Linked DNA regions of Tamandua tetradactyla. The protein of the gene in region 3 interacts with the protein of the main gene of each other region in a pairwise test. Links are inferred from orthologs where the notes say so. Each region holds a gene or a part of one and is shown on either strand. Other genes may lie near its edges. The genes, in order: FBXO7, AURKB, PSMA3 and ZNF385C.

Region 1 (8,326 bases), on a different chromosome or scaffold from region 3:
CCCAGCATACTTTCATTTCAAAATACGAGACCTATGAGCTAAGTGAATATTCTTAAATCAAAACAGGTGTGTGCAGATGACTGGGTACAAAATCACCCCCACTACTGATGGCAGGTACAGGTCCTCTTTTCTACTGATGATGAGTTATGATGTCTTTCATATGGAAGACAGTACAAATTCAAAAACCCACTGCTAAATAACCTAAGAGCTCAAATAAGCCTGAAGCAACAAACTCTCCATCCTCTGTGCATCACGATTATCTGACCTTGTGAGTATAACCATCGTCTCATCATACAGAGGTGATAATTAACAAAAAGTGTAAAACATTTTATAAGACTGTTATAGCCAATAATACCTCTTTCATTAAGTTTTTGAGAGGTTAACAAAGGATGAAGTTCTTTGAAAATCCTATTCTGTTTTTTCTTTCTTACAATGCAGCATATTTTCAAAAGTGCTCAAAATAATTCATTTTTCTTCCACACACAAACATACTTCTTCTTACCAATTAAAAGTGTATTTTGTAGAGAAAGTACTAGAAGTTTACTAGTTATTAGCAAAAAGTTAGCAACTTACTAAGCTTATTATTTACTAGCAGTGTGAGTAGAAACTACCACTGCTTCTCAGAAAACAAGCAGCTCTGCTGCTGTTTTCAAAATGCTTTGATAAACAAAATGTTCAGAATCTGCCAGCTGCCCAGAAAAACAACATCCCAACTTTGGCAGAGAAAAGAAAAACACCTCATGAACTGTTCGTGTTTATGGATCATTTGTCACAACAAAAGTTTTTTAACAGTATCTAGTACAATGCATGTTCAAACATCTAGTCTCTATTCATAGAAAAGGTAAAGCACTTAAGAAATATGCCAGCCTTCCCTGCCCCCTTGAAAAAAGAAAAAGCTATTCCTGAAGTAATATGTAGTTTTCCAGGGAGAGGGTTAAAAATGATTCTGTTTTCTGAAATGGTGCATAGACAGGAACAAAAAATAATTTTAGTTTAACATTTCAAAAGTTAAACAGGCAATGAAACTAGAAACTCCAGACTTTTTCAAGATATTTTATGACAATTTCGGATCCCTTTGCTCTGTGAAGACACTTTTTAAAAAATAACACCTGCCATTTGTACATGCTTTAACACTGCTCGTTTATTATAAAATGAACATACTTTCCAAAAAATGAATTTACTTTCACAAGTTGCAGTTTAAACTGTTTCCTGTCAACCAGCCTCAATTGTGAAAACAAACCTGAAAGAGAAACTAACTTAGGCTCTCGGGTAGATTCATATTGAATTTCACATCCTTTCAAGATTGCCCTACCTACTTAAAAGAAATATCTATACATACTTATGAAAATACCTTAAAAAGAAAAGTTCATTGTGAAAATTTATGGTAATGACAGGAGGAACCAAAATACTTAGGTTTAATACCAAGAAATAACAACAGACACGTCACTTACCATAATGCTCAAAGTTATTACCATACCTCCTCATTTTTTTTACTTTGGAGAAAACCAGGCTTACTTTTAATCTAATAATGTCTTAATCTGAAGAATGAAAGAGTGAGGAGTTCATAATAGGGCCTAACTTTAATGAATTCCCTAAAAATAAACTAGAAGCTTAAAAAAGTCTTAGGAAATAAGCCGCTTCAATGAAATTAACATAAAAGTTTTCTTTTTTTTTTTTGAATAATTCACCTAAAAAGCCCCCAGGTAATATTTTTTTAAAATGTTTAGCAAACTCATAAATTTCAAATTCACCGGCTCAATATTCGAAAAGAAGCCTCCTTACTTTGTCCCTCTATTACCAGATGATTGCCAAAAAAAATACCTCTGAAAACAAAATAGCAACCCTATAAATTAGTACCAAAATCTCTCTACTTCACTGTTGGAAAACTGAAACTCTGCAGGGTCATCCTAAGGCCAAAGTTCACCTCTGTTTTAGCAAACAAGCAAAATCTCCCCCAGGAAAATTAAACGATTTGTAACAAGCTTGCACGCTGAACTTTCTAAAACTGCAGTGGATAAGTGAAAATGCTCACCGACGTAGCTGCCACACAGATGCTCAACCTACTCTTAAAAATAATTATTACGGCTTTTACAGCTGCAGTACAGATAACAGGTGAATTATGATAGAGGGCAGATTTTTGACTTCTACTAGTATTCTTCCCAAAAGTTTATCACTGAAACACCCAACAGCTGAAGAAACTGAATTTAAACGCCCTATAGTATGGACAGGTTAACCCAACCCAAACTCAGAATTTCCAACTTTAAATGCAAACATCGTGTGCATTTTCCATTCTATCCTAGCCATGGCTTCGTTTACTTTAAAGACGGAATCGATTTCCTTACCCTGGAGGGGATCCGAGCCGCCGGCAGGCTGAGCCATGAGCTCCTGGAGCCGGGACCCCCCGCCCGCAGTAGCCCCGGCGTCCCGCTCACTACTCCTCTAGCGAACTCCCGCCCTGGTCCCGGGCCCTTCCTCGGCGAACTTGCCCCGGCCTCGGCGCGTCACAGACCCAGATGCGCCTAAGCACGACCACGCCCCCGGAGAGCGGACACTAACGTGACCGCCCCTGACGGCTGAGCACCTTAGAGGAGCACTCAGCGGCGCCCAGCAACCGCAAGGAGCACGGGCGGTCTAGAGCGCAACGCGCGCGGACTCTCCCCCCAAAAAATACCCAAGTACACTTTCCCCGCAGTACACACCCGTATCGCAGCCGGCCCTCCGCCCCCGACTCGCCCCCGCGTACCTGTACCCCAAAGTGGGCAGCAGGGCCTGGCTTAGGTGCGCGCGCAGCTGCCCCAGCGTCGGCTCTGCATCCGGGATCTCCAGCGGCCACGTCCGCCTCTGAAGCCGGACCCGCAGCCTCATGGCGGCGGCCGAAGGCCTGGTGGGGCTCAACTCGAAGGCGCTGATGGTGGCGTCAGACGGGCCGAACAGCTCCCGTCCCGCGCAGCGGCCCCGGACGGTGACTTCCGGAGCTGTGGGGGTGCTGAGGCGTAACGGAAAGAAAACTCCGCAAGGGCGGACGCCCCGCCTCTCCATAGGGCGCCCCCTGGAGACAACCCCGAGAGCCGGCAGCTGGCGGCCAGCGGCCAGCGGCCAGCGCCCAGCTCCGCGGTTCCGGGACTCCCGATCGGTGACTCGGCGCGCAAGGGCGCAACCCTGGAGGAGCACACTGCGCAAGCGCCCAGATTGCGACAAGGCGCTGGGATCTAGGCTTGTTAGTTTACGTGGCTTTTTTCGATTCCTTTCAGAAGTGCCTAGAAAAACAGTGCTGAAAATGATGCTGTGGACATTGTAACGTGCCACTTCCCAAGGACGTGTGTACCAGTTTTTACCTCCTTTCCTGCGTGGTGAACTATCAGGTCTTCCACGCCCAGTTGCAGTGGCACCTTCCGAAAAGCCGTATAGCGAAACCAGGTAGCGACCTCCTCTTGTGGGTCCGCAGCGCTGAAGAATTAAATGGTATAACGTTATGTCAAAGCCCTGTCATTTTTGGTCTCCCCAGTAACTGCTGTATCGCGCTGTTTATTTCCTTAGAATTTATCATCTGGAATTCTCTTTTAATTTGCTAATTTCTGTATTGGCGTTTTCCCACACAAGAACATGAGTTTTGTGGATCGAGGACCGAGTTTGTTTTGTTTACCGCCTAGTGTTGACCTTAGCATATGTTATACCATAAATGAATATCTTAAAAATAAATACTGTGTAGGCCCTGTTGTATAATGTCCTTCTGACCCTGCACCCACAGTTGGGAAGGCAGAAGAGTTTACGGCAGGTCCCTGCTCTCACCAAATAGAAAACAAATGTTATAGTGCATATAACAAATGCAATAGTGGAAGTAAGTACAAGATACAGAAGTGGTTAACTGGAACTTAAGGCGTTAGCAAGTGTATTTAAATTGTATTTTAAAGTATAAATGGGAACTTTCCAAGAGTCTGCAAGCAATGGTGTATACAAAAAGATGCAAAAAAAAAAAAGCCAAATAGCAGGCATATTCAGGGTAGCTGTAAGAAGTTCGATATTACAGCGCTTAAGATTCATGGGGTAACTTTCCTCTCTAATTAAGAAAGAAAAAAATAAAACGAAAAAACTAACTGGAAATGAATTACCAAAGGGAAATGGCTAAATATGATATATCTATGATAAAATGCTGTACAGACACAAAAAGGAATAGGGTAAATTGGTAAAATTATTATTCACTATTATAAGATGTGCATGATAAATAGTGCAAAGACAAATAAAAAAATTGCAGCTGGAGGATAAAACATAGGACGTATACACAGTGAACCCTGTGGTGGATGACGTCTGTGATTAATAATTAAAAGTATAAAAATATTCTTTCATATTTCATAAGGGTCAATAATAGTGGGATATCAGGGGTATGAGATTTTTTTTCTAAAATTTATTGTGATGAATGCACAATTACTCGATGATATTCTGAACCACTGATTGTATACTGTGGATTGATTTGTATAGTGTATGATTATGTCTCAATAAAACTGCTTGAAAAAGAAAAAAAACTCATGGGATAAGGTGGACACTGTTGTAATTGTTGGATTATATGCCCCCATTTGATTATAGACATCTGAAGTCATCTGGGCTTGGAAATTGCTCAAGAAATGCATGGTGAATGAAGGAAAGAATTAATGAATCAACCCAAATGGTTTTTCAAACTCTTTTTGCCTTGGAAGTTAATAAAACTAAAGCTTGTATGAAAGCTTAATATATTCAACAGATAAACTCAATAAGAGAGGATGGACTGAGATACGCCCCCTTACTTTCCAAGCACTCTGCCCCAGCACAGTTTGAAATCTGGGAATCTCACTCCCTCAATTTCCCAGATGCAGGGCCCACCTTCAGAGGTTCAGGATGTGAAGGAGAAAAAAGCAGTACCAATAGTACTGTACACTGTGATAAAACGCTCAAAATATTTTCAATCTATAGACTTCCTCAGTCTATGAAATCACAATCTCTTACTGGTCTCAGTTGCTAACAACCGCAACAGTAAAACACCCAGCAGCATTAATAGGCTGGGTTGCAATTTTTCAAGGATCACTAATAAAGGGTTTCTTGAAAGCTTCCTGTGTGCCAAGTTCTATGCCGGATACATTGCATGCATAATTTCATTTAGTCTTCATGGCTCTGGGAGATGGCCGCTCTTGATTGGCTTTTCAGTTGGATAACCAACTTAAGCTTGGATAGCTTAAGGACACCCAGCTAGCAATATTGTCATTGCCTGTCTCAAAATAGAACTGAAATTTCTAACCACTATGCTAAATGCCTTCTATAAATGTTACATGGTATAGCCTGTTCCTCTAAAGAAAAGTTCATATACAGAAAATTGGTTGAATTGTAGTACATGTATACAATGAAATCTAAGAAGCTAATAAAACAATAATGTAAGCCAATATATATTAGATAATATATGTAAGATCCAATATACAATGATTCTGCAGTTTTCTTAACATAAAAAATTGCAGAACAATTGTATAATATTGCATTCATGTTTTTATGGGTATATGTAAACATATATTTACTTATGTATGCATATAAAATTTCTTGAAGGATTTTTTTTTTAACCTGGACATCTGAGAGGGGAAATGACTTTCCAGTACAATGGAAACTCAGCTTTCCAAGTTCTTGGAAAGTTCATTAGTAAAGGGATGGTGATAATAGTATGAGCCTGAAATATCTTAGTAAAGGGCCACTCTTCCCCTACATACAGGCATAATTGTACACCCACAATTCCCCACAAGCAGACCTGGCAAGGCATCAGGTAAATTATTAGAGCTCTCTCCTATTTCATATAAGCTTTTATAGTTTTTGAGAAAATGCAGATACATTTTTCTTTTGGTCTTCATACTGTTCCTGTGAATTAAGCAAAATATATTGTCCTCATTTTGACTGATGTAAAGAAACAAGCGTCCAGCTAAGGGAGTGGCAAAGGGTGCATATCTAATTAGGGGAATAAAAAGATTCAGACCTAAGGTGTTTATCTGGAAGTCAAATTCAGCTAAGGAATGCATGTATAAATAGGAAGAAGATTAAAACATTGTGCAAACTTGATCAAGCAGCTCTGAAACCATGAGCCAACAAATTCTTGTTAGAGAAAAAAAAAGAGCCTTGATTAGTGGTAACAATCTGTGTTAGAGGGTATATTAGTAATCTATTGCTGTGTAACAGTCACCCCCAAATTTAACAGCTTACAACATTATCTCACAGTTTCCATGGATCAGGAATTTAGGGGTGGCTTAGCTAAGTGGTTCTAGCTCAAGTTCTCTAATGAGATTGCAGCCAAAATGCAGACCAGGGCTGTAGTCGTGAGAAATGTCAGCTCAGGCTGGAGATCTGCTTCCAAGATGTTTCACTAACGTGACTGTTGGCAGGAAATCTCATTTCTCGATGCATGAACCTCTCCACAGGGCTGTTTGAGTATACTGATGACGTGGCAGCTGGTCTCCCTCATCCCTGGTGGTCTGAGGCAGAAGCCACAATGTCTTTTATGATCTGAGGGTTGGAGTATATAGACCTTAGAAGTTACATACCATCATTCTGTCACATTCTATTGGTCACACAGACCAACCCTTCAGTGTGGGAAGGACAGTCCAAAGGCATGAATACATCATAGACAGGGATCATTTGGGGACCATCTTGGAGGCGGGCCACCACAGAGGATCTAATGACAGCAACGATGATGATGATGATAACTTCGAGGAGGGAGAAAATTCACCTTTACTGGATAGCCTCCAAAACATTGTAAGAGTCAGAAGTTTTCCCTGTAGATGGCAGCACTTGTCCACAATTTGCTATTCACTCACCAAAGTAAGTTCCTATTATTCACCTACTCTGTGCCAGATGGTCACAGCTGCAGACTCAAAGACAAAAAAAAGACATGTTCCTGCCCTTGCAGGACTTACACTTGAGTGAATCAACTCTTGAAGTGGAACCTAAAAAATGTCTTGTTTATGATAGACACAAGCACAGTCTGAGGATTGGAGTATATAGAAGGTTTCTGTGCCAGTAGAGCTCCTTAGCAGTGAGCAGTAGAAATGACTACTGTGAGCAACAGGGGATTCTCTAGAAGGAAGTGAAGGAGCTCATAGGCATGAATGGAGGCAATAGGACTAGGCTTGGGTAGTCTGGAAACATGCAGCCATCTCATGTACTACTCCCCTGTCCTGCTCAGAGGCTGCCACTGAAACAAATGAATCAAGCCTTTCTGAGAAGGTGGGTATGGGAGAAGTGTTCTAGGTGAATTTTTATTGGAAGGAATATGGCATTGAGGATCCCTGTCAGGATCAGGGTGACTCTGTGTGTCCGGAGTAAAGGACAGAAGTGGGCGCAGCCTAAATAAGGAAGAGGTTTAGGCTAAGCAAGGAATTTGTGAGACATCTCAGAATGTATGCTCGGCCACTGGAAAGTCTTTATCCGTTAGGAGTCTTTATCCATTAGGGTGACCAATAAAAGCTGACTCAGTTGGATTAAGCAGGAAAAGAGGAAATTAAAAGGATACTGGATAGCTCAGGGAATTCTTGGGAGGGCTGGAGAAGTAACACCAGGTTAAGCTTCCAAGAATGAAGCTCAGAACCACAATGAAGAAACGGCCTGATGAGAAAACTGTCTCATCAGCTGGCATTGTTGCTGCCACCACCATACTACCATTAAATACAGTGCACCTTGGCAGCCTCCTGCACCAATAAAGAGCCAAACTCCCAGCAGAGCCTGTTTCCTCACAGTCATTACTTTCGAATCAATGATTTATACAGTTTTATCTGTTTGAGGGAGCCCAGGTTCCATGTCTAAGTCCTAGCTACTACAGATACTTGGAATTAAGATCTTAACTCCTTCCTTGGAGAAGTGGAGCTAATAATGTTGGAATTTCTCCAAGTATAAGAAGGCTATTCAGAAGATGATAGGCAATTTAACCAAGGAGATGAAAGACTTGTAGACTAAAAACTACAAAATGTTGCCAAAAGACCTAAATAAATGGAAAGACATTCCATGTTCATGGGTTGGAAGACAATATTTTAAGATGGCAATACTATCCAAAAAATCTATAGATTTAATGCAATCCTGCTCAAAATCCCAATGGCAATTTTTTATGGAAAAGGAAAAGGCAATCCTCAGATCCATATGGAACTGCAAGAGGCCCTAAATAGCCCAAACAATCTTGAAAAGATAGAACAAATTTGAAGGACTCCCACTTCTCAATTTTGAAACTTTCTACAAAGCTACCATAATCAAAACAGCATGGTACTGCTATAAGGACAGGTATATAAACCAATGGAATAAAATTGAGAATCCAGAGATCAACCCTCATATCTAT
Region 2 (7,777 bases), on a different chromosome or scaffold from region 3:
TTATTGGAGTCCTATAAAAGAAGAAACATTTTGGAGAATAGGAGATTCAGAGAGAGCAGAGAAGAACGACATAGCCACGAGAAGCAGAGCCCACCAGCCAGCAACCTTTGGAGATGAAGAAGGGAAATGCCTCCTGGGGAGCTGCATGAAATAGGAAGCCAGGAGAAACTAGCAGATGATGCTGTGTTCACCATGTGCCCTTCCAGATGAGAGAGAAACTCTGACTGTGTTCGCCATGTGCCTTCTCACTTGAGAGAGAAACCTGAACTCCATTGGCCTTCTTGAACCAAGGTATCTTTCCCTGGATGCCTTTGATTGGACATTTCTGTAGATTTGTTTTAACTGGAACATTTTCTCGGCCTTGGAATTGTAAACTAGCAACTTATTAAATTCCCCTTATTAAAAGCCATTCCATGGGTGGGCCATGGTGGCTCAGCAGGCAAGAATGCTTACCTGCCATACCAGAGGACCCGTGTTCGATTCCCAGTGTCTGCCCATGTAAAAAAATTTTTAAAAAGCCATTCCGTTTCTGGTATATTGCATTCCGACAGCTAGCAAACTTGAACAACATTGAATGTATATCTTCAATACATGTTGATTATATATACGTGGGCTTGTATTTTCTGTGTTTTCAAAATTTCATTTTCCAATGAGTTCATGTTCATTGTATTTTGTAAAACTTAATCATCTATGATAGATTGAATATAACCAGTCCTTCCCCACAAATACTTTGAGAAGCTCTTGATTTTATACTCAATTCACTAGCTTGGGCAAGCACCAGGAAGATCTAATAGTTTTTGTTTTGTTTTTATGAATAACGCAAAATCTGACACTGTGCTGGTCCATCAGATACCCTCAAAGGCTAAACATCTCCTGGCATAATGTGGAGGCAGAATTTAAAGACCCCAGGCTACAGGCATACTGTCTTGATCTTTCAAGTACATTTCCCCCATGCACTCTGACCTCTGACAGGATCCAGAAAGATGTCCCTTCACTAGGTCACGAGGAATAAAATGTACTTCAAGTGCTAGGATTTTAATAAGATTCTTCTTGGCCAGTCTCTTTATGCCAAGTAGAGGCACTGCAGTTGAAGCAGACTCCCTGATTTTGGGAAGCAGGGCTGGGCTTAACTCTAAGTGAAGACAATGTGCACTCCACAAACAAAACGGCTTTTCATAAATGGAAGCAGTGATTATGATCATCAGATGTCTGGGAGATGGCTCATCATGTGGAGATCTCTGACTTTTTTAATTAGTCAGAATGAAATATAAGGCAACTATGAGAAACCATTTCCACCACTAGCCTCTCACTGCCTGCACTGTGGCTGGTGGAAGGGATACTCACTTTCCCTGCGGCCTCCTTTGCATTAGTTGCGGGACAGAATTCTAGCCAAGGAGAAATCTGCTGGGTACTTCTATGCAGGCTTCAGTTTTCCCTAAGACAAATGGCAGCCTTCTTGCCACCAAAAGGGAAATGAGTATTGCAGAGAGGAGAATCCAGATCTCCAACACTGTTCGGTTCTCGAACCAGTTACCCACCGGGGTGGGTTGAATTGTGTACCCCATTTGGACCAGTTCTTGGTCGTGGTCCACATTTCGGATTCTGGTGGTGTGGACCCCCTATAAATAGGATATCTTGAAGATGTTACTTCCGTTAAGCTGTGGCCTGATTCAGGTTCGACTTTAATCTGGATGACTGGAGCCCTTTATAAGCAGAGTGAAATTCAGACAGAGAGAAGGAAAGCCACAGGAAGAAGCCAGAAGTCAACAAAGCCCAGAGAAGCCAGCCACAAGGAGATGCCACCATGTGCACTGCCACGTGATAGAAAAGCCAAAGAATCCCAAAGATCACTGTCCAGCCAGAAGCTCATAGCCTATAAAACTATGACCCGACAAATTCCTGTTGTTAAGCCAACCCATTGTACGGTATTTGTTTTAGCAGCTGAGAAATTGCCACACCCATTTCCTCTACATTTCATTTTATGTAAAGGAAAATAGGTTCCCATTGTTTATGCCTTTGATAAATGGGTTTTCTGTTACTTGCACCCAAAAGTATTATGAACTGATCCAGAAACCTATAAGGATTTATTTGATTAATATCTGGTTGAATCATATGAAATTTCCATTTTGTGTGTGGATTAAAAAAATAATGACTGGATATCATCAATTTCATCTCATCCAACCTAAACAATTCTACTATAGGTCTGTAGTTGTGTGTAAATTAGTATGCCTTTGACAGCAAAGAATAGAACTCATAGCCCAGAATGCATTACAGAAGGTGACGTATTCGTTCCCATAAGGAAAGTCTTGAAGTAGGCAGGCTGTGCTTGACAATGGCATAAAAGACTCAGGTTCTTCCCAGGCCTTGTTCTGACTTCTGCAGGGTCAAGCGTCAGTCTCTCTCATCCTTCAGGCACAGCACTAGCATCAGTGCAGGCTGTGTACTTCCTAGATCGCGTCCAGCAGGAGAAAAGGAACTTCTACTCAGCATTCTAAGTAAGAATTCTAAGACTAAGATTCCCATTAATTGGCCCATTTAGGTCACATGCTTTTCCCTGAACCAGAGAATTGAAGAAGTTGATTGTCTTAAATCAATCAGGGCCCAATCCACAAAATCCTAGGTGTGTTCAGGCAACGGGAATAGCTGGGAGACTGACTGCTGGCTGGATGGCCACAGTGTCCACTACAATAGCTCTCCATCAGGAAGGGACTTGTCACCAACAGAAACCAACATCTTGCTCACTCCAACAACAAGAGGATAACAGGTAGCTCACAGAATCAAAGGACGAGCTAACAATCACGCCTTGGGAAGCACAGAAACCAGGGCATTCTCAGGGATTTCGGTAACAAAAACCCAGTTTTTTGAGGGCACTGCCCAGACATGACTCAGTTTCAACTGCCTTTCATCTGTGCCTCACCCTGATTAAGAAGTAAACTCCCCACCTGGCAGCATGGGGCAGAAATCCCAGAATGAGCTGAGATTCAGCATCAAGGGATTGAGAAAACCTTCTTGACCAAAAGGGGGAAGAGTGAAATGAGACCAAGTGTCAATGGCTGAGAGATTCCAAACAGAGTCCAGAGGTTATTCTTAGTCTGGAGGTTATTCTTACGCATTAAGTAGATATCAACTTGTTATTCAAGATGTAATGGAGAGGCTGGAGGGAACTGCCTGAAAATGTAGAGCTGTGTTCCAGTAGCCATGTTTCTTGATGATGATTGTATAATGATATAGATTTCACAATGTGACTGTGGGATTGTGAAAACCTTGTGTCTGATGCTCCTTTTATCTACCTTGTCAACAGATGAGAGGAACATATGGGATAAAAATAAATAATAGGGGGAACAAATGTTAAAATAGATTTAGTTTGAAATGCTAGTGATCAATGAAAGGGATCAGTAAGGGGTATGGCCTGTAAATTTTTTTTTTTCTGTTTGTTATATTTTTCTGTGTCTTTTTACTTCTTTTTCTGAATTGATGCTAATGTTCTGGGAAATGATCATGATGATGAATATGCAACTATGTGATGATATTGTGAATTGCTGAGTGTATGTGTTGAGAATGTTTGTGTTTCTTGTAATTTTTTTAATTAATAAAAAATTAAAAAAAAAAAAAAAGAAGTAAACTCTCCAGGCAGAGATTCTGATTGGCTTGAATTGGTCACAGTATCATCTTTCAACCTAGGGGTCTGGACACTATGAGTAACAGTCTCATGGGGACTGCACAGAATGGGGACACCCGGGGGCTCCCTAAAGGGAAATTAGGGTGGTGCTACTAGAATGGGGAAATGATGCTGAACAGGCAATACTTAGAAACGTCCCCTGGTTATTTCAAAGGTGGTCCCAAATTTCTTTATTTAACAAAATAATAGAAGCTTGGAGTCTGAAGGAGCAGAGAATTAGAGAACATGGCAGGAAGGACAAAAAAAGAGTGGGTTCAAATGACGCAGCAGAAGTCAGGGGACCTGCCGAGAAATGTCGACCGGTGGAAAACTCCTGCGAGGGATGTGAGTGAAGGACTTTAAAGAAAAGGATAATAGTGACACAAAAATAAACACTTACGCAAACAACTTAATGGAATTAGAAAGCCCAGAAATAGACCACAAAATATACATAACTTAATATATCAAGGGTGGCATTTAAATTCTGTGAGGGGACTGGGCTGTTGAACAAACGGTGCTGGCACAACTGGCTAGCCATCTGGCAGAAAACAATGCTAGACCCTATCTCATATATACCCAAGAGTAAATTTCAGATACACTACAGGTTTAAATAAAAATTTATATTAAAAAGTATGAGAATACTTGTATGGAGAAGGAAAGGGAAACTTCCCGCGGCCGGAACCCTAGTGTGCCGCGGCTCGCTCCGCCCCTTCCATTGGGCCCCCGCGGCCTACGTCATGGGGCTATCAGCCAATGAGAACTGCGCATGGGCGGTGCCTTTAGCCAATAAGGTCAGGGCGGGAGATTTGAAAGGGCCACTGCGGGGGCGCTGCGGGGCAGCTTCAGTCGTTTGCGGGCGGCGGGGTGAGCAGCTGCGCGGCGGGCTGCAGGTGAGCTGGGCTCTTTCGCGGGCCCTGCGCCGGGACAGGGCAGGTGGTCCGGCAGGTGTGGGGGCCGTTGGACAGAGCCGCGCTCACTTCCTGGAGGCGAGGGGGGCCAGCACCAGGGCCGACGAGTCTAGGCGAGTGCCCGGATGCCCCCAGACTGCGGCCGACTTGCTGACCTGCCCCAGGCAAGCGCTTCCGATCGGAGATCAGACCCCTCCCTCTCTAGCTCCTTCTTTTTCTCCTTCTCATGGTTCTGTTTCCTTCCTCCTGCTCAGCTCTCCGCCCCCTTTCCCTCCAAGGATGACCCAGAAGGAGAACGCCCACCCCTGGCCCTACAGCCGGCAGACGGTAAGGCTCTTTCCTTTCTGTACTTCCAAACTGCAAGGCGAGAGTACCCCCTTAGAGAGTGTCTAATGCGCCCCAGTCCCGACTTTGGGGTTCTGCAGAGGGCGAGCCTTCAAGCATTTTCTTCCCGGATATGATCGATCGCATGGGCGCCCCCGGAATTTTTTATTTTTTATTAATTAAAAAAATAAAACAACAAACAAACGCAAACATTCTTAACTTTTGATCATTCCGTTCTACATATATAATCAATAAATCACAATATTATCACATCATGATCACTTCCTGGAACATTTGCATCTATTCAGAGAAAGAAATAAAAAGAAAACAGAAAAAAATTCATACATACCATAACCCTTACCCCTCCCTTTCATTGATCACTAGCATTTTAATCTAAATTTATTTTAACGTTTGTTCCCCCGATTATTTATTTTTATCCCATATGTTCTACTCTTCTGTTGACAAGGTAGATAAAAGGAGCATCAGACACAAGGTTTTCACGACACACATTCACATTGTGAAAGCTATATCATTACACACTCATCTTCAAGAAACATGACTACTGGAACACAGCTCTACATTTTCAGGCAGTTCCCTCCAGCCTCTCCATTACATCTTGAATAACAAGGTGATGTCTACTCAATGTGGAAGAATAACCTCCAGATAACCTCTTGACTCTGTTTGGAACCTCTCAACCATTGACACTATATTGTCTCATTTTGCTCTTTCCCCTTTTGGTTGAGAAGGTTTTCTCAATCCCTTGATGCTGGGTCTCTGCTCATTCTAGGATTTCTGTCCCATGTTGCCAGGAAGGTCCACACCCCTGGGAATCATGTCTCACGTAGACGGGGGAGGGTGGTGAGTTTGCTTGTTGTGTTGGCTGGAGAGAGAGGCCACATCTGAGCAACAAAAGAGGTTCTCTCGGGGATGACTTTTAGGCCTAATTTTAAGTAGGCTTGACCTATCCTTTGTGAGGTTAAGTTTCATATGAACAAACCCCAAGATTGGGGTGCCCCCGGAATTTGATGGCAGAATTGGGTCTGGTCCTTCACAGCCACATCCTAGGAAAGGCCTCTCAAGTGCTGCCAGCTTGACTCTGACCAGCCAGTGGCCCCCAGCCTGTGAGGACTTCTGCAGAGCTGGGCCTACATGTCACATGCAGGTGACATCTGGGGTTGAGCGTCAAGCCAAAGGCAGACCATGATTCCCTACCCTTGCCCTGAAAAAATATGTTAGGTGAGAACTAAAAATAGACTCTAGAAGGATTTAGATACAGTTACTGTTCAAAAGGGGTCCAGGACAAGTCTAAATTAATACTTTGGAATTTATTTTAATGACCCATGTAAGGAAGGGATCTAAATAGATTTCCCCCCGGATGGTAGTTGTCTCAATATCTTTCATTGAAAAGTCGACTCTGATTTGAAATGTCACCTTTATTATATGTATTAAATTCCCACATACATGTGGATCAATTTCTGGACTCTATTTTGCTCACCTTGCTTAATTAACTATTCTGTACTGATAATCGCCCTTTTGGAACAGGTTTTTAAGGGCACTGGGGCTTCCTTCCTCACTTGGCTGAAGAAAAAGGAAGGTGCCCTGCACAGACTCTGCTTTCTATTGGGGGCTTGGGCATCCTGGGGATTTTTCCTCTGCGTCACCCCCTTATGGATCCCTGAGTGAAGCTGTCATGGAGAAATAATAAGCCACTTCTGAATGAGAAACGATTGTCACTTCCACATCAGTCACTCCCCCCCAAAAGCTGTTTATAGTGCCCTGAGAGGTTGAAAATAGGAAGTGCTCGGTGGGCCACCAAAGAAGTCCTAAACCTTATGGACTGAGTTTTCCAAAGGACTGTTAGAATACCTCTGCTACAATTCCTTGAATTGTGGGTGTCCATTGGCCCAGCCCATTATCACCCCTGGGTTTGGGGGCACTGGGCGGTTGGGGGCTGATGTTATGGGAGGAGCTATAGGGGACAGCCTCATGCCCAAGAACGTGGTTGGAGCCAGAGCCAAAGAAGTATAATATAAGGTGTTGGGCTGAGTCCTTTGTCCCTTGTCTTAGGCCAACAGAGGCTGTTTACTATTCACCCATTTTTATGTGGGGCTGTGAGCAGAGCCTTGGGGCAGAGTAGTGGCACTGTGGTGTCAGTGTACCTCATTGAACTAAGGATGGGTGAGTGGGTGGCTTTGCAGCAAGTAGTACTGAAATGCTGCTTGCCACACATTCCAGCCGGGTCACTGGGACAAAAGCGCCTCAGAATTGTCAACTGTTCCTTCTCAGGCTCAGTCTGTCCTGAACACCCTGCCCCAGAGAGTCCTCCGCAAGGAGCCTGCCACCCCATCTGCTCTTGTCCTCATGAGCCGCTCCAGGGCCGTTCTAGAGCCTTCCAATGCCCAGCCCACAGGTAACCACGACGGGGATGAGGAATGGCCTGAGGGGACCAGAGCCTGTGGGGTGGGGACAGGGAGGACAGCCTGTCAAAGGTGAGCCTCAGTTTACTTGTTCTCTCCTTAGCTGGTCAGAAGATAATGGACAACAGCAGCGGGACACCCAGCTTCTTAATGTAAGTGCCCTGAGCCTTGGGGTGGGGGTGGGGGGCAGTGAAAAGGAAGGGAATGGGGAGGCAAAACCTCAGGACTGGGGGCCTAGAGATGGGGGCAGGAAATTCTGGTTCGTCCCTGTTCTAGTTTGCTAGCTGCCGGAATGCAACACACCAGAGACAGATTGGCTTTTAATAAAAGGGGATTTATTTTGTTGGTTCTTGAGAGGAAAGGCAGCTAACTTTCCACTGAGGTTCTTTCTTACGTGGAAGGCACAGGATGGTGTCTGCTGGTCTTCTCTCCAGGCCCCTGGGTTCCAACAACTTTCCCCAGGGTGACTT
Region 3 (8,343 bases):
CTCTACCGACTGAGCTAGCCGGGCACCCGGGGACTGGCTTGTTTTTCTTTCCCTTCATGATTCTTCAATTACAGTTTTCTTCAGATTCCAATTTCTTTTCTCAAGTTTTGCTATTCCACAGCTAATTCTGCATTTCCCAACTGTTTTGTTAGAACCTTTCCAACACTTTTTAAATTTTGCTAAAACACAAAAATGTTTACGCGTGTATAACCCAAGTTCACTTAAAGCTTATACGTCTTTTATCATTACCGTCATCGAATATTTTTTTCTGAGGTGCTTTAAATTATATGTTGCCCAACATGTTGTCTTCTTCACATCAACACGTATTAAGGCTATACAACTTCCAACAAATGGCATAATTGATTTCTAGTTTGGGGCTCGGCATAAAAAACAAAAACAAAAACAAAAACAAAAAAACTCCCTGAAGTCCAAACTCTAGAGGTTACTGTGTGGAGCACACGAGCTTACTTTCTTCCTTCAGTATGGTCTTGTCAATGAAAGCCAAATTGAGAAAGGGGGTTCTGATTCAATTAAAACAAGGCCTCTTTCGGGTGTCTGCCTGACAATCAAGAGACAGGCCCTTCAGGGTTGTTATTACCTTTCTGCTCAAATAAATAGAAGATGAAAAGAAAGGCTTATAGGGTCGCTGAGTCATGGTAAAGCATGTTAATTCTAAGAGGAAAAGAACAGAACTTGATTTTGACCACACTGACAACCTGAGACAACGGAATACCCTCCCAAACAAAAATAACTATTTATTTTGAAATACTGGTGAATCTTTCAGATAGGGAATTCTGCAAATTTCTGTATTTTAGTGGTGATGGTGGTGTTTCCATCCTACTGCTCAGAACTTCCAGTTAAAGCCTATTTGAAGGCTGGAACTAACAAAGAATTCTTAGGGATATTATCCCTAAAATATAGTATATAAAACCTAAACACACTGGGCATCACATCCCCGGAGAACCTAAAAAAAAAAAGAAAGAATAATGTCATAAAATATTATATGATTAGATTACTTAAAGCACACCTAGGATTTAAATAGAATATTTATATATTTTTAAGCTTAAAATGTTATTACAAATAGGGAAAACTGTGTGTTTGTGGGGTATGTGGGAACTCTGTACTTTCCACATGATTTTTCTGTAGACCTACAACTGTTCTAATACAATTAAAAAATATATTATTACAATTATACACAGTAGCAATTTTTTGTTGCAATTGAAAACTCTGGCTTACTTGTGATTATTTTATAAACTTGGCAGACAGCAAGCAACTTTACTGAAAAGTCAATTCAACTGTATTTCTTAGCACATTCAATATATTTATTAAGTATCTACCAAGTACAAGGGTATTCTGGTAAACAGAAGGATAACATAAGAGGCCCTGATAGCCTCAAAAAGCTTATCACCTCATAAGAAAAATATGTGTAACTATTCAGTGATTTTATTTGTACTGCCCTACTTCCAAAACTAATTTGGAGTAACTTCAAACAAACCAACAAACCCATACCCACATCTTTTCAGTCTTCTGGTGAATCATGCAAATATTAATCAACAGACCATACAATTCAATGCACTTTTTCCAAGGCACAAAATAAATGAACAATCAGCTCCAAACTAGGCAGATCATCTGTCAGTATGTTCAGAAAGAGCCCATATTCTTTTTTTTTAATTGACAAAAACAACATACACAGTATACAATCAATGGCTTACAATATCATCACAAAGTAGTATATTCATCACCATGATCATTTTTTAGAACATTTGCATCACTCCAGAAAAAGAAATAAAAGAAAATAGAAAAAACTCATACGTACCATATTCTTTACCCCTCCCTCTCATTGACCACCAGTATTTCCATCTACCCAATATATTTTAACTTTTGCTCCCCCTATTTTTTTTCTATACCCCTTACCACTCCCTTTCATTGATCACTAGTATTTCAATCTACTCAATTTATTTTAACATTTCTTTCCCCTATTATTTATTTATTTTTAATCCATGGTTTTTACTCAACTGTCCATACCATAGATAAGGAGCATGAGACACAAGGTTTTCACAATTACAGTCACACTGTGAAAAAGCTGTATCATTATACAATCATCTTCAAGAAACTTGGCTAGTGGAACACAGCTCTACAGTTTCAGGCACTTCCCTCTAGCCTCTCTAATGCACCTTAAACTAAAAAGGGGATATCTATAAAATGCGTAAGAATAACCTCCAGGATAACCTCTAGAACTCTGTTTGAAATCTCTCAGCCACTGACACTCATTTTATCTCATTTCTCTCTTCTCCCTTTTGGTCGAGAAGGTTTTCTCAATCCCTTGATGCTGAGTCCCACAAGAGCCCATATTCTTAATGATTAATGAATATAATCTAGGCACTAGGCACTCAAATAGCGCTTATAACACACAAGTAGTGAAGTTCATTAAAAGTTTCACTGGATTCCTAAACAACTTTGGCATACTTGCTGTCTACCTTCAGAGTGAATCCTCCTATTAGAAAGCTTTTAGCTCTCTTCAGGATTTTTTGGCCTGTCCTGGTCTAAATCATGAGCATTTAATGAAAGAACTGCAACTAGAATGCTTCAGTGTGGGTGAGGCAAAGTAAATGGCTGATTTTCCACGTAAATTCAATTCCTTTATTTATTCATTTGTTAATGAATAAAACCTACTGTGTAATTATGATGCTTCATTAGCAGGATGAAGCAGTTGAAATTGCACTTATTTCTTTACTCTCTATATCCAATTCTTCAGCAAGACTTAAATATCAGAAACCCACCCACAGACATCACTCTAGTCTAAATCATTCTCCATACCACTTGGGCATGACTGCAACAGTTCTAACTGGTTCCCTGCTGCTATTCTTCCACTTAGCTATCATTCCTTTTTTTATAATTTATTGTAAAATATAATATATACATATATACACACCATACATTTAAAAGTACATTTAGACAAGTAGTTACAGAACAAATTTCAAAGTATGGTATGAGTTACAGTTTCACAATTAGAGTCATTTCCTTCTAGCTGCTCCAAGACACTGGATATTAAAAATAAATATCAATGTAATGATTCAGTAGTCATCCTCATTTGTTGAATCCTATTTTCTCTGTTACAACTCCTCCTTTTCCTTTGATCCTTCTCCCAATGTTTAGGGATATTTGGGCAATGACCATTCTAACTTTATGTTTAAAAGGAGTGATAACATTATGTGGTAGGGGGATGCAACTAGTTGATATCTTTTGGAGAGACTGGTACCTCTACGTTTCAGGGCTTATCTGGCCTATGAATCATCTGAAGGTCTTAGGTTTCTTAGTCCCAACTAGATCAGCTTCGTTCTCTAAGTGAAGGCTGATCTATTTTTTTGGTTTCTTTAACAGTTGCTGTATGTAGCAATAGTGTCTTTTGGAGCTGTAGAACCCCAACTCTGTGTCTTAGGTGTCACACAGGTACCATCTTTTTTGAAATCTCAATGCGTTATTATTAGAATGGCAACATCTTTACAAATTGGTTTTCACTGACAGGAGCTATAGTCACCATCACCATTTTACCTTGACTTAGCTATCATTCTCTTTAAATAAGACATTATTTAATAATGTAAATCAGATCATACATTCTCCTGCCTAAAAACTGCTGATGACCTCACAGTAGATACAACAATAAATGTGGACACAATGATGGAATTAGAAAATTACTATCTGGCAGCGATCACAATAATAATTTCATCAAATAAGAATTTCAATGGATGCTATAGTTGGTGAAAGGCTGAGGAGTAACAGGATGTTGACTCACAAAGTATTTACTCACAAATATTTATGAATTACAAAGGGAAAAATAGAAACTTAATAGTAAAGAAAAGTTAAGGAAGTGATCAAAATTAACATCATCAGTAATGGAACAAATTGACATCAAGTACCTCCAAAAATAATGCTCTGAGATGAATGCAAGGTCACTTCTGTGGTATTCCTGCCAAAAATGCATTATCTGACTCTAATCATAAGAAAACATCAGACAAACCCAAATGGAGAAATATTCTACAAAATTGTCTGTAGTCTTCAAAAATGCCAATGCCATGAAACCCAAAGAAATTCTAGGAACTGTTTTCCAGATTAGAGTCTAGAGACATAGTAGCTAACACAATAGGATCTTGGGTTTTCTTTCGCTATGAAGGATGTTATTGGGAAAACTGCCAAAATCTGTATAAAGCCTGTAGGTTATAGTAGTGTTAATTTTCATAATTACACTGTGATTATTAAGGTGCTGTCTGTGGGTTTTTTGGTTTGTTTGTTTGGATTTTTGTTTTATTTTTTAAAATACACACTGAAGGATTTAGGGGTAAAAAATTGCTGATGTCTTCCCATTTCAGTCAGATTAAAATCCAGTACTACATGATATGGTCCCATGTCCGCTTCCTGCCACTCTACCCCCCTTAAACACTGTGCAGAGCCACACTGTTCCTACAACAAGCCAAGCTCTTTTCTGCCCTTCCTGTTATCTGTCCCACTGTTTTCTCAACCTAGGTTTCAGCTAAATTACCAACCACTTAGAAAGTCATTCCCTGAACACCAGGACTAAAGCTTCCTCCTCTACTCTATCAAAGTTCTCCTCTCGTCTCACAAAGTGCAATTATTTTGCCTATTTATTCATTATCGTCCCCTAACTCCATGAGGAATGCGGTGAGGTGGTGTATGTCCTGCTCACCGTCCCATCACCAGTGTCTAACAGAGTACTTTAAACATAATAGAGCTCAATAAATCTCTTGAGTTAGTCTTATTGTGAATTCTACTAAAGAGCGATATAGTCATAGAAAGGACACTAATGCTTTTGGAACATTCCAACCTAAGTTCAACGATGATACGCCTAAAATGCAATTTCATTCTGGAACCTGAGAGTGGTGTGGGTGAAGGAGATGCCTTCAAGAAACGAATGAGAACCAGGTCTTCAACGGTGGGGATACCTCTTCTCACTGCTTTTTTCTCCGCTTGCTCTAAGAGGACACGAACATTTCTCCTCTTTGCTACAAAAAAGAATAAACTAGCAAGAGAGAGCGAATATAAACGATAAATAATGATCCTTAGGAAGAGGACTGGAGCAGCTCTCCAACTACCTGACAGCTCCAAGAGGATCCACGACACTCAGGGCCCGAATTGAGGAACCCAGAACCTGTACCCTCCCAACCCCGCCTCCATTGCTTCTGCACATGCGCGCCGCCCCCAGCCTTCTCCACGGTCTTACTTTACCCACAATTCTCTTCGTTCCGTGGGCTAAAGACCTGGGACACGAGCCCCAGAAAACAGTGCTATTGGCTGAAAGTGCAGCCAATGAGAAAGGCTGTTATTAGTTTGCGCGGTGCTGCGGTGTAGGGGCAGCCCTTCAGGCCTGGAAGCCGTACGCGTCCCGGGGATCTCAACGCGATGAGCTCTATCGGCACCGGGGTGAGTTTCTCTCTCGAGGTGAAGTCTAGCCTAGGAATTCGCGTTGAGAGGAGCTCGGACGATCCTTCTGACGGACTCGGGTGCGTTGGGACTGCCGTCGGCCAAGCGAGCGGCTTCCCCGCGGTCTGGAGACCGGCAGCCTCTCCTTCGCGGTGTTCCAGGCCTGCGCGCGAGAGGAAGCTTTCTCAGCTGAGGGGTAGCGGACCCGGTGGCTCAGCAGCGAGGGTTTGGGGCAGGCTTGGATTGCTGAGTCACTGGCTTTAACCGCTTAGGGAAACCGAAAGTGGAAACGCGGGACCTGAAACGGGGTGGAGGGTTTGGCTGTCGTCCGCCTCGTGAGAACCACGGAGGCGGAGAGGCTTGGGCTTTGCCGAGTCCGGGGCGCCTGGATTGTGGAGACCGCGTTTGCGGTTCCTGGGACACTGCTGACCACGGCCTCCTCTCGTCCGCGAGTGTACTGACCCACCCAGCAGTAGGGGAGTCGCTGGGCGGGCCATCGTGACAGAGCTAGGAAGAAAAATGGTTGGGAAAGCTAAATCTTAGGAAGCCTTTTAGTTTTCCCGTCTCAGCTTTTCCTGTGCAAATTACTTTATAGAACTTCTGGGCATTAATACTGTAAATACTAAAGTGATTACGCAGGAACTTTAAACAATTCTGACTTTTAATAAATAGACTACTGAGGGTTTTGGAGTTGGACTTAATTGTTGTTAGCTTCTTCGGCTTACTGCTTTCCTTTGTCAAACCTGTTGTACATATGAAATCCTTTGCTTATTCCTTGTAGATACTTCATATAGAAATTAGTTTTTGTTTAAAAATATCGGAATAATGGGTTTCTTAGTTCCTCTATTCCAACTTATTCACAAGATTTTGGTACTCAGCATTAAAAGCAGATACTGGTGTTCAGAGTTTGTAATAGGCAACGTATGTTTGGAATGGTTTAATCCATTCCGTTGTGAAATGCCAGTTATGTCATACTTTTTGGATTAGTAGGTGCTCAGTAGTGCATCTTGTAGTAAATGGACCTTGCAACTACATTAAAATTACCTTCATTTATAAGTGTTTCATTATAAAAAGCCTTTAAAAATACCTGTTAATATTACCATATCTGGTCATTTAATGTTACAGTGGTAGAGTTAATAACATTCGCTTAATAGGAAACAGACTCAGAAAGTACCACTGTTGAATGCTTACCTCCTGTACTGACTTCTCCCCAAGAACTCAAGTAATGCATATTTGTCTGTCTACTTGTGACTTCTTTCCACTTGTTTAATAGGAATTTCAAACTCTCCATATCCAAAGTAATGCTCTGGCTTTTTCCCTTCCCTTCCCTTTTGCATCTTCAGCAGTCTTCAACTCAATGAATAGTCCAATTCCAATTATTACAGTGAAAAATATCTGTGAGCCGTCTATAATCCATTTTTTACTTTACTCCCAGAGCCAGTCCATTAGCAAGTTTTTTTTTTTTTTTGCTCTACTCACAAAAGGTAAATTAGATCATATCACACACACACCCCAATTACTACAATTGCATTTATAATAAAATATAAACTTCCTACTCCATCCTAAAAGACACAATATGATTTGGGCCCTTACCTGCATCTCTGATGTAGTCTACTGTTCTCTCCACTGTTTATTGTGCTCAAGACACAGTGAATCTTGTTTATCTTCCTTGACTATGTTAGGCCTATTTCTGTGTTAAGGTCTTTGTGCCAGATGCCAGAAAGCCTCTTCCTTGGCTAATTCTTGTCATTTACGTCTGAGGCAACCTAGATATAATTGCCCCAGTTAGGCCTTCCCTGACCTCTTAGTCTGTGGTAGTCCCTTAGTCTCACTAAACTCTGTTTTCCTCGTAGTACTTTTACTGGTTTACTGCTGTATCTGTAGCACCCAGATTCAATTTGAAAATGAAGGACTTCATGAATGACTAACATAATAGATGCTTATTAAATGTTTGATGCATGTTAAATGATTTGTCCTGGTCTTTCAGTTTGTTAGTGGCACAGCTGCACATCTGAATGTTCTGACTCCATTTCTTTTTCTATCAATATGAGTTTTGCGTTCTTTCTGAAAAAGTGCTGAGAGTTCACCTAGGACTTGTGTCCATTGCTTTCCAATAATCAAGAACTGTCCCATAGCCACTGTTGCTGTTCTGACATACTTCCCCTTCTTCAAAGCATAGTCTTAATTGAGATATGACAAATTCCTGATGCTTTAAGCTATTTAAAGTGAAAAAGTTGCATGGTTGTTACTGGCAAAGATAAATTTATTGTTACTTTTTTTATCCCTAGTATGACCTGTCAGCCTCTACATTCTCTCCTGATGGAAGAGTTTTTCAAGTTGAATATGCTATGAAGGCTGTGGAAAATAGTAGGTAAGAAATATTGTTTTACTTGAAGTAAGTATGTTTTAAACAGATTTCATTGAATGTCTCTTTTTATTTTCTACATTTTTGGTGATTAGGCTTCATTATGTTACTTTGTCACAAGCTGATGTGTGCCTCCAAATAGTTTCAGTGTTGTTAGTCACTTCCAGATCTTCTAGGTCAGATCTTTTCCCTGAGCCCCAGCCTGTATTTCCAGTCAGTTCTGGGATTGTCCATTTAGATATTTTGTCTTTGTTTTCTAGGGCTACTGTGATAAGTCCACACAGTGGGTTGGCATAAAGAGCAGGAATTCCTTCACAGTTTTGAGAGGCTAGAAGTCCAAAATAAAGGTCTTGACAGACTTCTTCTGGAGTCTTTACAATCCTGGTGCTGGCTCACTGCAGTCCTTGGGGCTCCTTGGTTTACATCTCTGCCTCTGTCAGATGACAGTCTGTTTCTTTGGTCTCCTGTGACTTTCTCTAACTGACTGCATTCATATTTCCTGTGCCTTAAAAGGACTCCAGTTTGTTAAGGCCCACTCTGAT
Region 4 (7,426 bases), on a different chromosome or scaffold from region 3:
CTGTTTTCCCTGCTACCCCTTCCTCTTGAAACTAACTTGGCCCCACCTGGGGAAGATTTGAATCGAGGGGAGTGTAGAGACCAGGGATGGGGCTGCCTGGAGAGCCAATGGCTGGTCTCCCAGAGACCTTGGGAAGTGTCCCAGATTGGGCAAAAAATGTCTGTTCACTTGCCCTGAGGTGATCAGTTCAAAGAAAGCTTTGCATGAAGTTCTCCAAAGAGGGGGAAGAGATTCAGTGGCAATACCTATTTCTACCCTGCCCCTGAAATGTTTTTCTCCCCAGAGCTGCTTCTACAAACACCAGGGGCTGAGGGGTGGGGGGGACAAGAAAAGTCCCTTCTGGGTACAAACGTTCTGAGGTATTTGGGAGCCCTTTGTCCCCAGGCTAGGGGCATTCCTGGGGTCAGAGCTCCTGGGTCCCAGCCAAGCCTGGGTGTCTCCTTGCACCCCAGATCCGGGATCTGCAGCGGGCAGCCCTGGTCAAGAGAGCAGCCCGAGCCACCCTGCAGGAAAGCCGGCGGCAGCAGTTCCTGGCAGACCACGTGAAGCTCCTCTGCATCAGCTGCCTGATGGCCGTGGGCCACGGCAGTGACCTGCGGAAAGTGGAGGGCGCCCACCACGTCAGCGTGAATCCCAACTTCTCGTGAGAACCGGGGAAGAGGCAGTCGGGATGAGGGGCGGGTGGGCTGGGCTGGTGGGGACTGAGAATCCCTCCCATCTAGACAGTGCTCCGATGGGTTTTGGAGGTTGAAGAGCCGTTTAACATGTACAGATACTGCATTTTCACAAGTCCGATTAGATGGGTTTTAGCACCACTCTGCTCTATAGATGAGGAAATTGGGGCTCAGAGAGGCTAATTGTCTTGCCCAAACTCCCACAGCTGCAGTATGGTTGACCAAGAGCTAGAATTCAGGCTGTCAAGTGCTGAGGGGCCACAAGGGGTAGAACTACTTAATCCTACCTACTCTAAAGACACTAAGAGGGGCTGGCTATTCCTCATCACAAAACCTTTGTTTCCCATCCTTTCATTAATAAAATAACTATATATTAGATACCTACTGTGTGTCAAGCACTATGCTGAGGGTTTTCAGGCAGATTCATTTGAGACTGTAGCATTTCAACTAGATTTCAGAGAATGGGTTGGATTAGGCTCTGATGAGATGAGGAAAAGACGAGCAGAGGCAGGGGTGATGAAAGGCAGAGAGGGGTAATTCCAGTTGCCTTGAGTGGAAGGGACCACGAACAGTGAAAGCCAGAAGGAAAGCACACCAGTCCACTGAGGTCCTGAAGGTTAGGCCTGAGAGTTTACATTCCTCTAGTAGGCAATGCAGAGCCTCGGATAGATTTTGAGCAAGGGAATGTCAGGGCCAGGTTTACATTTGTAGAAGGTCTCACTCTGGCGGTTGGAGAAAAGATGGTGAGGCCTGAGAGTCCATGGGGGTTCTAAGGCCACCCTCCTTTCTCTCAAGGATCTACTACACCGTCTCCAAGAAGCCTGTGGTCATTAACAGAGTCTTCAAGGACTGGAGCCCTGGGGGCACCATCAGCTGCAGAAACTGTGGGGAGGTGAGTGCTTGAGCTGCTTCCCAGGCCCCAGAGTTCTCAGCTGTCAGTCTGAGGGAGGAGGGTGTCCAGCCCCTGCCCTCTGAGAGCCCTCACGAGGATGGAGGCGACAGTCCTATCCCAGAGGCCCCCAATCTGCAGGGAAAGGTCCAGCCCCTGTCTTAGGAGCACAGAGTGTGACAGGGGAGACAGCTCTCAGTCTGAGGTGGGAGACACAGTTTCCCTATTCATGGCACCCCAACTTGAAGACACATGCCCAGCCTGACGGCAGAGGCCCAGACCCCACGTGCCTCTGTCACACCCACAGGTCTGGGGTCTGCAGATGATCTACAAGTCGGTGAAGCTGCCAGCTCTCAAAGTCCGCAGTATGCTACTGGAGACCCCACAAGGGCGAGTCCAGGCCAAGAAGTGGTCCCGCGTGCCCTTCCCAGTACCTGACTTCAACTATATGCAACACTGTGCTGACCTGTCTGAACTTTCTGACCTGTCTGACCTGTTCCTGGACTGACAGCCTCACCCCTGCAGCACCCGTCTCAGGCAGCAGGGGGCGGTAGAGTCTGCAGCATCCACCACCTTCCCCTGAGCAAAGCCTGGGTCCAGACCTCTTCTGCTGTAATGCCCAAGTTGGGGTGTTGGCCTGTCTGGCCACCAGGGAGCCCCAGACAGCCAGGCTGGTTCCACGTCCCATACCAAGGAAGCAGTTGGAAGGCCATGGCTAAGCCCAGATCAGCCTCACATACGCATAGTCGCTTTCATAGGCGATGGATGGAGTTTGGGGGAAACTGAGTCAGGTGGCTCTCCATCCTGTATTAGGAATTACAACAGCTTCTCTTGGCCTTTCATCAGCCCTTCTCTGCCAAAGCCACTTCCAATTTTTGAGGCCCCTCATAAATTAAAAACAAAGAAGAGAAAAAATGAGATAGAAAATGTGTGATATTTAAAAAACAGCTAGATCATGGTATAATTAACATAAACTGCACATATTTATCTGGTGAGTTTTAACATATGTATATTCCTCTACAGGTAAGGTAATGAACATGGCCATCACCCTCGCAGTTTCCTAGCGTCCCTACCTCCTGCCCCTCCAGATCCAATGACCCGCTTTGGTATACTTGTCATGTTCAAGTTTAACCACTCTCTTTATGGCTGTCTGTGTAACCTTATTTGGAGAGACACTAGCATTCTAAGTTTGAGGCTCATACCCCTCCCCTCTGTAATGGGCTCCAGTCACAAAGCCTCCCTTTCTCTGTTTTCCCCTAATGCCCAGGTTATCTCCCCTGGGTTGAGAAGGGCTAAGATCCAGGACTTGAGGGGTGGGCTCAGTTAGACATGGAAGTGGGTATGGGGGTTGCAAAGGCCTAAATTTTCTGTTCTCATTTTAACAAGAAAAAAAAAAAAAGGCAAGATCTAGGTTGACTCTTTAGGGAAAGGGCTATTTCTGTAGTAAGAGAGGCCCAGCAGGCAGGAGTCACCTTCAGGAGGAACGGAGGGGGCTAGAGCAGAGATTTGAGAGCAAGATGGTAGTCCTTCCTGCCATCTAACCTCCTTCCCTCCTGCTGCATCCATGTTTCTGCCTCAGGGCAGATGGGAAACAATACACCTTCCATTCCCCTCAGCATCTTCTTCCCTCATTCGGTCTCTTATCTGAGAGCTGAAATTCCAGTTACAGTCTGTCCCGATCCCCTCCTCTCAGAGATGTGTACCCCTCCTTCCCAGGGCCCTTCTTCCTTCTAATCTCTGGGTGTCCCTTGGCCCTGGCTTTGGCAGCTGCCCTCCTCCCCCATCTCATCCCATCTCTGCCTCCGGGGGCCCCTTCTGCTGCCCGTCTGCTCCCCACTTTGCTTTCAGTTATTATCCCCCTTGCCAGCAACGTGCCTTCTATGGGTCAATAAAATTAGCGACGGGGGTGGAGGGAGGGGGGCAGGGGCTCAGGGGTGCTAAGCTCAGTGGCCTTGAATGTGTCTGGATGCACGGAGTCCGGACGCCTGTCATTCCAGGGCTAAATAGTGACAGCTGAGGGACCTGAGCTGGCACTGGGAGCTGGGAGGGTGGGGGTTCAGAGAGAAAGACAAGGATACAGATGACCTGGGCCCAACAGCCCCTCAGCGGCCCAAGCCCCCCCCCCCCCCCGCCAACCACTGGACAGCAGACCCCGCCTTTGAGCTGTTTGTCCTATCTCCCACCCGCCCTGCCAGGCTCAGAGAGCTTTCTTGAAAAGGGAGCTCAACGGTAAGGGTGAGCGCAGGCAAGGTGGGGTGTCTGGGCGTTCATCTCCAGGTGAGGGGTCTACATAGGGAGCCACTGGCTGCAGGGCACCTGGGCAGGCTGCCTGAAGGAGGAGATTTCATAACGCCCTCCGAAGGGTCCTGACTTCCCAGCCCTCAGCAAAACCGTGGCTCGCCAGCTCGCCCCCTCCCCACCTGAATCAGCCGGCCCACCCGGCCCCGCGAGACTCAGGGAGGGGCTCGGCCGGCCGCGGCGCCCCCGCCCCGGCCCCGCCCCCGAGTCTGGCCCCGCCCCCGCCAGGCTGCCGGCGGGGCGCTCCCGAGCGCGGCGAGAGCAGGTGGCCGTGGCGGGCTCCGTCTCTGCCCCGCAGGTAAGAGAGCGATGCGGGCTGGCTCGCGCTGAGGACCTCGAGGGCAGCGCGGGAACGCAAGGCAGCCCTTCCACCTGCCCCTTCCCCTCGCCTCAGAACTGGGGACCCCACCGGACAGTGAGGACAGCCCTATCCTGGCTCTGCGTACCGACGCTGGGCATGTAGCGGGTGCGGCTAAACTCTGGGGAAGTTTAGAGAGCCGCAGCTTGCTGTTGCTGACGCTAGGGTGGGCTCCGAGGGTGGGAAAAGACAGAGCGGAGCATTAGGGATGTGGCTTTCCAGAAAAAAGCAGGTTGGGAGCAGTGACTATGGGGACTCTGGAGTAAGGGGGAACTCAGTGAGTCCTTGTGGGGTGCCTCATCCACGCGCAGCATCCTCTCCTGGTGGGAAGTGATGGGACAACCCACATGACTTCTGTGCCGTGCACAAATGAGGTAAGAGCCACTGCACAGCTGAACTGGGGCCTGGGCTTGCAGAGGAGCCCCGGATTTCTGCATCGTTTATACCTGGGAACAGGTGTGGGTGGGTGAGGGCGGTGGGGGAACCAGGGGTTATCCAGATGGCCTGAGAGTCCTGAGAGCCTCCAGACTAAGTGTTTTTGCTGTGCCGGTGCTCCAGAGCCCGGGAGAAGGGGTCACAGATGTATTCACACCCATGCTGGGCCTACTATTCACAGGGGTTGTATTTGCACCTTCGGCGTTGGAACTTGCCTCCCAGGACCTCAAGGAAGCCTTCCTGAAAGAAAAGGGCTTGAGCTTCCCGCTCAGGTGTGTTGCTTAGAGCTCTGACCCGCAAAGTAGCAGCAGCCTCTGGGCCTTGGAGTCGGGTTGTGGTAGAGCAGTGGACCCTGCATTGTAGAATGGAGAGAGGACAGAATGCTGCTATCTGGAGCCAGCAGGACCCCAGGGACTTTCCAGAAACCCTCACAAGCCTTTGGGACGGGCAAAGGTGACATTTGTTGGGGGCGGGGGGGCTCTCATCTTTGTCCAGACTCTTCATTCCATTGTCTCCCCTCATCACACATGCCATCATTGTTAGGAAGTTCTTTCTTTTATCTGACCTTCATCCCTTCTGCTCCTGTGCCAGCTTCTCATTTCTGAGAGGCAAAGTGCTATCGTGGAAAGAGTGTGGGCTTTGGAGTCAGATAGACCCGAGTTCTGTCTCCTCTACCTACCGTGTGATCTTGGGCAAGTTACTTAACCTCTTTGGGTTTGCTGCCTCACCTGTAAAATGGGGATATTAACAGAATCCACCTCATAGAGTGGCTGCAAGGACTAAATGAGAATATGCACGTAGAGCGCTTAGCACAGTGCCTGGCATCTGGCAAGGGGTCAACCAGTATAAGTGTCCCCTTGTGTGTAGGACAGCAAAGCTGATCTGCGGGGGTGGGGGTGGGATGGGGTGGGAGGGTGTAAGTTTATTTTCAAACTTGGCCAGAGAGAGTGAAACCTTTCACCACTAACCCTGCCACCACCAGCCCCTGCTGGTCCCTGGATCCAGCTTATGTGTCTGGGCTGTCCAGGGCCCCTCACCTCCTCATCTCTTAGTCACCCTGTTTGTCTCACACTTTGTCTCAGGGGTGGCGGGAGAGGCCCGGCCAGGGCAGGGACCTGTGACAGCCGGAGCCCACTTGGGGCTATGCCTCCATAGAACAAGCCCTAGCTTGAAGACCTAACCTGGAAAAAAAAAAAAAAAGAAAAGAAAAAAGTCCTCCCTGCGCTCCCAACCTCCAGAGATCCAGAACTTGAGATCAAGTCACACTAAAAATTTCCAGGAAGATAAATAATACAAGTAACTGAAAATCCTGTTTGGGGATTGTCCAAGCTGTCCTCCAATGGAAAGGCAGCTTCAGACCCTGGCCTGAGCCCTGGAGGCCACCAGTAGGGCTGGGCCAGTACCACCCTTAAACCTGAGTGGGAAGGGGGGAGTGCCTCTGCCCTGAAGCCTGGCCTTTCTTCAGCCATTTCTCTCCCTATGGGGTGAGAAGTCAGCAGGGCCAACGGGATGAGCCTACCAGGAGCCCGTGTGTCCCCTTCAATTGCACACTCCTGATACCTGACTCTGGAAGTCTCTGTGCAGATGGTCACCAGCTTGCTCCCAGGCCTGTGCAAGCCCCTTCTCTGGATCCAGCCTCCCCATGGCAGATTGCCCATGAGTGTGGATACCCCTAAGCCTGGGGAGTGGGGGTGGCTAAGGGGGCAGCTGTTTGCCAGGTGTGTGGATGGATCTAGGATGCATTGGCAGGGGGTTCATACACATGCCTGGGAACCCCTGAAGTTGCAGAAAAGAGCTAGTAGTAGGAAGGGGGGTGGTGGCCGGAGGCCAGGGGTGAGAGAGGATCTGTCTTTTCAGCTTCATTCTAACGCATGACTCCTAGGTGTCTGAGAAATCTAAATTTGAACCTGGTCTTCCAGGTTGTTCTGAAGGTATATTTGTCAAGGGAGGAAGTTGGAACATATTTTATTTAACAATTTCTTAGCTTGATTTATAACTTTTAAATATTTAGTAGACACACATATGTGGGCCTCCACTTGTACTCTTGCCCAGGCCCTGCAAACTTTAGGAGTAGGTTTGACTGGGTCAGTGACTGAAACTGCCATTTGGTGTATTCCCTCCCTGGTCTCCTTGCCCCCCAGTACAGCAGTTCTCCTATAAAACCAGGCTTAGGACATGCTCACCGGAAGCACGAAGGAGTTTCAAGGTGAAATGAAAACTGTCAGCTGTTGCCAACAAGCAGTCACCCCCTTGGGCCTCCTGACCTCATTCTCCACCCCAAAATTGGAACAACTTTTTAAAATGTCCTGTGATGCTTGAGAGGGGAGGGATGAGGAGGAGAGAGGTTGCTCGTCTCCTGAATGTAGTATGGATACAGGTACTCATTGGACCCAGGGAGCAAGGAGAGGGCTAAAGGGGGCTGCAGCAGCAGGAGAGATGGAAGGCAGACTAGGAGAGGATCAGGGCTGGGCCTCACCTTGGCTCCAGCCGCACTTCTCAGAGGGCGCTGTACCCGAAGCGAGGAGGGGGGCCTCCCCTGAGTTTGGATTTTGGACTTTGGATGGGGAAGAGTGTGGGGGCCAGCTGGCCAGGCAATGGGGGTCGTCCCCAGCAGGAATGAAGGGCACATTGGTCTTGACTATAGTGGAGGGCCCCATGGCACCTGGACACAGTATCTGTTCAGAAGAGAGAGGCCCGCAGTGGTTTTTTTTGCGGCTGTCTCTGACTCACTCATTGATTCTGATTGGGCTCTTTGGGGATCAAGCCTGCCCA

What was found.
Region 1: the proteins of PSMA3 (region 3) and FBXO7 interact in binary tests that used the Homo sapiens proteins (3 or more experiments, as listed by UniProt). The two-hybrid records come from large-scale screens. The link is inferred for Tamandua tetradactyla from reciprocal best matches to the Homo sapiens genes PSMA3 and FBXO7.
Region 2: the proteins of PSMA3 (region 3) and AURKB interact in a two-hybrid assay, tested with the Homo sapiens proteins (2 studies listed by BioGRID and IntAct). The link is inferred for Tamandua tetradactyla from reciprocal best matches to the Homo sapiens genes PSMA3 and AURKB.
Region 4: the proteins of PSMA3 (region 3) and ZNF385C interact in a two-hybrid assay, tested with the Homo sapiens proteins (2 studies listed by BioGRID). The two-hybrid records come from large-scale screens. The link is inferred for Tamandua tetradactyla from reciprocal best matches to the Homo sapiens genes PSMA3 and ZNF385C.

What each region holds. Positions count from the first base shown.
Region 1 is NC_135333.1:24,545,495-24,553,820, reverse strand, and holds the start of FBXO7 (F-box only protein 7), read right to left. Parts: upstream 3,109-8,326; 5' UTR 3,040-3,108; coding exon 2,744-3,039; exon of another isoform or gene 2,546-2,743; intron 2,510-2,545; exon of another isoform or gene 2,380-2,509; coding exon of another isoform or gene 2,343-2,379; intron 1-2,342. UniProt on the Homo sapiens protein: Substrate recognition component of a SCF (SKP1-CUL1-F-box protein) E3 ubiquitin-protein ligase complex which mediates the ubiquitination and subsequent proteasomal degradation of target proteins and plays a role in several biological processes such as cell cycle, cell proliferation, or maintenance of chromosome stability.
Region 2 is NC_135332.1:62,040,556-62,048,332, reverse strand, and holds the start of AURKB (aurora kinase B), read left to right. Parts: upstream 1-4,435; 5' UTR 4,436-4,548; intron 4,549-4,568; exon of another isoform or gene 4,569-4,730; intron 4,731-4,820; 5' UTR 4,821-4,845; coding exon 4,846-4,893; intron 4,894-7,176; coding exon 7,177-7,300; intron 7,301-7,410; coding exon 7,411-7,459; intron 7,460-7,777. UniProt on the Homo sapiens protein: Serine/threonine-protein kinase component of the chromosomal passenger complex (CPC), a complex that acts as a key regulator of mitosis.
Region 3 is NC_135338.1:7,395,386-7,403,728, reverse strand, and holds the start of PSMA3 (proteasome subunit alpha type-3), read left to right. Parts: upstream 1-5,271; 5' UTR 5,272-5,415; coding exon 5,416-5,436; exon of another isoform or gene 5,437-5,516; intron 5,517-7,724; coding exon 7,725-7,807; intron 7,808-8,343. UniProt on the Homo sapiens protein: Component of the 20S core proteasome complex involved in the proteolytic degradation of most intracellular proteins. This complex plays numerous essential roles within the cell by associating with different regulatory particles.
Region 4 is NC_135332.1:25,144,261-25,151,686, forward strand, and holds the start of ZNF385C (zinc finger protein 385C), read left to right. Parts: upstream 1-4,100; 5' UTR 4,101-4,159; intron 4,160-7,426. Other genes in the region: ATP-dependent RNA helicase DHX58, read left to right, coding at 453-643, 1,470-1,566, 1,871-2,071.